Bombyx mori: one gene and its partner. The protein of the gene in region 2 binds, or shares a complex with, the protein of the main gene of each other region. Links are inferred from orthologs where the notes say so. Each region holds a gene or a part of one and is shown on either strand. Other genes may lie near its edges.

Region 1 (2,069 bases), on a different chromosome or scaffold from region 2:
AATTACACAACATTCAGGAATATCAAATCAAAAAAGAAAACCTTTGTTCTTTTAGTTTTTAATTATATTCAATTAATGCGACTAATGCGTAAAAACTCACAATGTCGGCGATTTCATCTACAGATGCCATTTTGAAGTTTACGTTTGAGGTTATCTATCTGGTTTTAAGTCCGAGCAACAGTTTTTCGAAGAACTAAGTAAATGAGGTACTGATTGTTTGTGGACACATTACTCTCAGTGTTAAAATCGATTTAAAACAATAAAAAAACACAATTTTCTTTAAAAAATTAAACAACTCAACCAAGCTCAAACGGGATTAGCGGACGCTATAGATTATACATTTCGCTTTAAGGAATTTTATGACCTGGTAATTAAGATCTTTAAGTCATGTCTTATTTTAATTAATATTCTTATTTTTATGAAAAATGTTACAATTATGTAGTGAAATGACATGAAATGAAGATGATTAATTTTAGATATTAATCAACTGCGATGAAATTAAATTAAATTAGATGAGATGAGATGATATGAGATGACATATTCTCAGTAAAATGGTGGTCATTGACTGAGATTTTTTCAGTGGACTTTTTGGAGGATCTCGAGAAGCTATGTCCAGCGGCTTTATTTCATTTACCCACATTTGTACACTTTCACAGATATTAAACAGTCAATAAACCACCATTATCACATTAAATTAGATTACATTATTACATTTAAGCCTGAAGAAACACTAAATAGACAAAATAAAATAAATCACACAGCTTCACTCCTTACGTTCCCGCCAAAAAGTCCCGATTTGTTTTAAAAATTTAAGCACAGGTAACGAAAACGTAGTAAATGCAAGACATTGGAAATGAGATGGTGCTCCTGCACAAAACTAACAAAATTACGGAAAATACCGATTCACACCGCTACAAAAAGCTATTGGCATTGACATTTTATGATTTTGACTTTGAGTTTTAAATGACATTAATTGAAGAACCCAAGCCAAATTACTGTTTCAGCGCGTTTTCAAACAAACAAAACGAAAAATGTTGTTTTACTCGTTTTTCAAATCGTTAGTCGGTAAGGATGTAGTCGTCGAGCTGAAAAATGACCTCAGCATATGTGGGACGTTGCATTCTGTGGATCAATATCTCAATATAAAGCTTTCGGATATAAGCGTGATTGACTCTGAAAAGTATCCTCATATGTTATCAGTGAAAAATTGTTTTATAAGAGGCTCCGTGGTTCGATACGTACAACTGCCGGCTGATGAGGTAGACACCCAGCTTCTCCAGGATGCCGCTAGAAAGGAGGCGACCGTTTCAACAAGATAGAACTTAACCTAACCTACAACTTCAATTTAAAGTGTACATATTAATATAAGCTTAAGTTTCTTAATAAATCATTCTTATAATATAGTGTTTTAGTAGCGGTCTCCGGATATTCATTTCAGAAAAGAAAGTTTCCTTTGATCGAAAAATAACCTAGTTCTTCAGTTTTATGTAAGTTTTATACCAGAGTATGAAAGAATAATTTATCAATAAAAAACATCTATATTTTTACCATTCTCAAAAATGTATCACAGAAAAAAGTTTTTATTACCTTTCACATCAAACTATACTGATAATTATTAGACATAGCTGCATTCCTTAATACTTAAGCCTTTTTTCAAACCAGAATTGATTTAGATCTCTAGTGTACATAATTTGGATGTAAATATTTACAAAGCTGTTATTTTGGATTTTTAAGATATACTTTTTCTGAAGATGGCCATGTCATAGTTTTCCATAGGCAGAAGGGATTGTAAAAGCATCATTAAAATATGTTGCTTGCCAAACACTGAACCTTCCTGAAACCTGAACCTTTTAAACCTTCTCTGGACTTCACGAATAATTCAAGACCAAATTTAGCCAGATCGGTCTAGCCGTTCTCGAATTTTAGCGAGACTAATGAACAGCAATTCATTTATATATATATAACTAGATAGATTACAGAAATATATAGATAGAAACATAATTTTAAAACTACATTTGTTGTAAGTTTCCGTTACATATTGAAATTTTGTTAGTGAAAATATGATAAAT
Region 2 (2,736 bases):
CGCCTTATTCACGATCCATCTTGCTGTACGTCCCGCCAAGGCCATGCACGATGCACGATGCATTTAGCGCTTTATTCACGATCCGTCACGGCTGTACGTCAGCTCAAGACCGCAGTGCTGGATGTATCAAGCGCGAACAGAATAAATCGAACGAATTAAATGAGGGTTTTAAGTTAAAATGCCAGCTGCTTTATCAAAACGCCAAAAATGGGAGTCCTTCTGATGTTGTCAGCAGCAGCAGAAGAGAGGCAAAAAATAGCAAGAGGTTTTGGATGATTTTTTTAAACGTGCAGAGTATACTCAAATAATTAATATCATTTTTTACGCACGCTATCAATCCTTGCAGCTTCCCCTAAAATGGGCCTAAAAATTGTAATACGTTTATTATTTTTGGTTTATTCATATAGTCTGCGCTTGAGACATTCCACAAAAATGTGGAACTTATAACTTTCAATAAATCTTGAAAGGGTTTCACGATCCATTTTGACGTGCAGTCTCCTTTCGAAACTCTTCGTTAACTTTAATTTCAGTATTACCACCGTCTTTTTACGATTTCATCAATGTCAGTGTCGAGTTAAAAACTGACATTTAGTGGCCATAATTGTTTGTTGAAATAATACTTTTTGGCGGGAACGCGAGGAGTGAAGTTGTGTGATTTGTTTTATTTTGTCTATTTATTTAGTGTTTCTTCAGGTTGAAATGTGTAATAACGGTGGTTTATTAACTGTGTATTATCTGTGAAAGTGTACAAATGTGGGAAAATGAAACAAAGCCGCTGGATGTAACTTCTCGGGATCCTCCAAAAAGTCCACTGAAAAGATCTCAGTAAATGACCACCATTTTACTGAGATTATATTATATTTCATCCCATATCATCTCATTTCATTTTATTTCATCCCAGTCGATTAATGTCCCAAATTAATCATTTTCATTTCACTCCATATTATCATTTTTCATAAAATTAAGAATATAAATTAAAATAAGACATGACTTACAAGTCTTAGTTACCAGGTCACAAAATTCCTTACAAAAAATTGTTGAATTAAAAAGCAGAGTCACCATAGACAAAATAAAGCGTCGACTTAGCGTGTGTACGATAGTTTTGCTGTAATTGTAATCTTTTTCACTCAATTTCTCAGTTCACAAGCCCATAAAATAATACAAAATGTAAGTATTAATATGATTTACGTAGTTTTAACAATATATTTAACATATTATCTGCTTAGCCGGTAATGGTCAACAATAACTCTAATGTTAACCTTATTATAGGACGTCAACAACTAAGCCACGCTCTGAAATGACCCTAGAAGAGCTATCTAAAATCGAAGAGGAAGAGTTTAGTACCGGACCTCTTTCCGTGCTCACGCAGTCAGTAAAGAACAACACACAAGTTCTGATAAATTGCCGTAACAATAAGAAACTCCTGGGTAGAGTGAAGGCTTTCGACCGGCATTGTAACATGGTATTGGAGAATGTTAAGGAAATGTGGACTGAGGTACCGAGAACTGGCAAAGGAAAGAAGGTAAACAGATGTTACTGTATTTCAGTTCAATTGATTCAGAAATTTGAGGTTATGTATTGGAAATAGGAACCACTCCCAAGCGCTCATGTATAAAAGTGCTACAGCTCCAACTTGAAAAGTACACAATAAGACATGATGTCGCGTATTTTAGGCCAATATTAGCGGAGATAAAATACAAACCACTGGAAATTCCCAAGATGACAATTATGTGGATATGAAACATTCTGTGTTAGCTCATTTCATTAAAACTCTTCAAATTCAAAATACGTATAACTTCTGGTTTTATTTTCAGGGCAAAGCTGTAAACAAGGACAAATTCATCTCCAAAATGTTCCTCCGCGGTGATTCTGTGATCTTAGTACTAAGGAATCCTCTTGCTACAGCTGCAGGGAAGTAATGCAGTAATTAGTTTAAGTATTAATGAATAAAATATTCAGGAAATGAATAGCTTTACTGGTTCATTCCTTAAACTGTAATAATACTTTTACAAAATTGGAAACTGTGTTAGTTCTATGATTCTGCAACTATATGTAATAAATAAACAAACTCGATATTTTAATATATTGAAATTGTATCAAGTTCACATATTGTAAGATAAAGCTAAAAACGATCAGTTATTATAATGATGCATTAAAAGAGTCTCACCAGTATTGTTGTTAATATTAGCATAAAATAACTTCATATTAGTGGCTGAACATACCAAAATTGAAAAAAAGATACTTACTTTTGGTGCAAGTAGTAACTAACAATTTTGTAAAATATAGATGCTTTAACATTTTTAAAGAAACATGGCAAAATTACAATGGTCAAGAAGTCCACAAACCTGTCAATAAGTTTATAATTTCTATAATAAACCAAAGTGTAAAAGTGTGTTTTTAATATGATTTTTTTCATAGCCCCTTATTAATTTGTGCAAATTAGATCTGATGTACATCATGGGATTAAGCTGTGCAGTCCAGTCCAATATTTTGTTAACATGTTGGTTTCATGACAGACACTATGAGTCCACAGCATACTTTCCCCTAGGGTAAAAAAATGTAGTGTTTTTTCAAAAATATTCTCAAGAAATTACTCAAAAGTAATGAGTGAGGTATGGAAACAGTGACTAAGTATTGTTTTCTGAGATATTTCAAATGGCAGACAGTGTCGTCATAGACCTAAGTAAATGGTTGTTACAGGGTGTCCACCATTCCACTGGACTAAACATGATTTCT

The links. Proteins that work in one complex are often made in the same cells at the same time.
Region 1: small nuclear ribonucleoprotein sm d2 (region 2) and U6 snRNA-associated Sm-like protein LSm2 share a complex: the UniProt entries of both Homo sapiens proteins name them as parts of the U4/U6-U5 tri-snRNP complex. The link is inferred for Bombyx mori from reciprocal best matches to the Homo sapiens genes SNRPD2 and LSM2.

What each region holds. Positions count from the first base shown.
Region 1 is NC_085129.1:20,029,772-20,031,840, reverse strand, and holds U6 snRNA-associated Sm-like protein LSm2, read left to right. Parts: upstream 1-958; 5' UTR 959-1,031; coding exon 1,032-1,319; 3' UTR 1,320-1,399; downstream 1,400-2,069. Other genes in the region: protein suppressor of forked, read right to left, coding at 101-130. UniProt on the Homo sapiens protein: Plays a role in pre-mRNA splicing as component of the U4/U6-U5 tri-snRNP complex that is involved in spliceosome assembly, and as component of the precatalytic spliceosome (spliceosome B complex).
Region 2 is NC_085132.1:3,762,032-3,764,767, reverse strand, and holds small nuclear ribonucleoprotein sm d2, read left to right. Parts: upstream 1-1,089; 5' UTR 1,090-1,165; coding exon 1,166-1,167; intron 1,168-1,269; coding exon 1,270-1,522; intron 1,523-1,814; coding exon 1,815-1,919; 3' UTR 1,920-2,170; downstream 2,171-2,736. UniProt on the Homo sapiens protein: Plays a role in pre-mRNA splicing as a core component of the spliceosomal U1, U2, U4 and U5 small nuclear ribonucleoproteins (snRNPs), the building blocks of the spliceosome.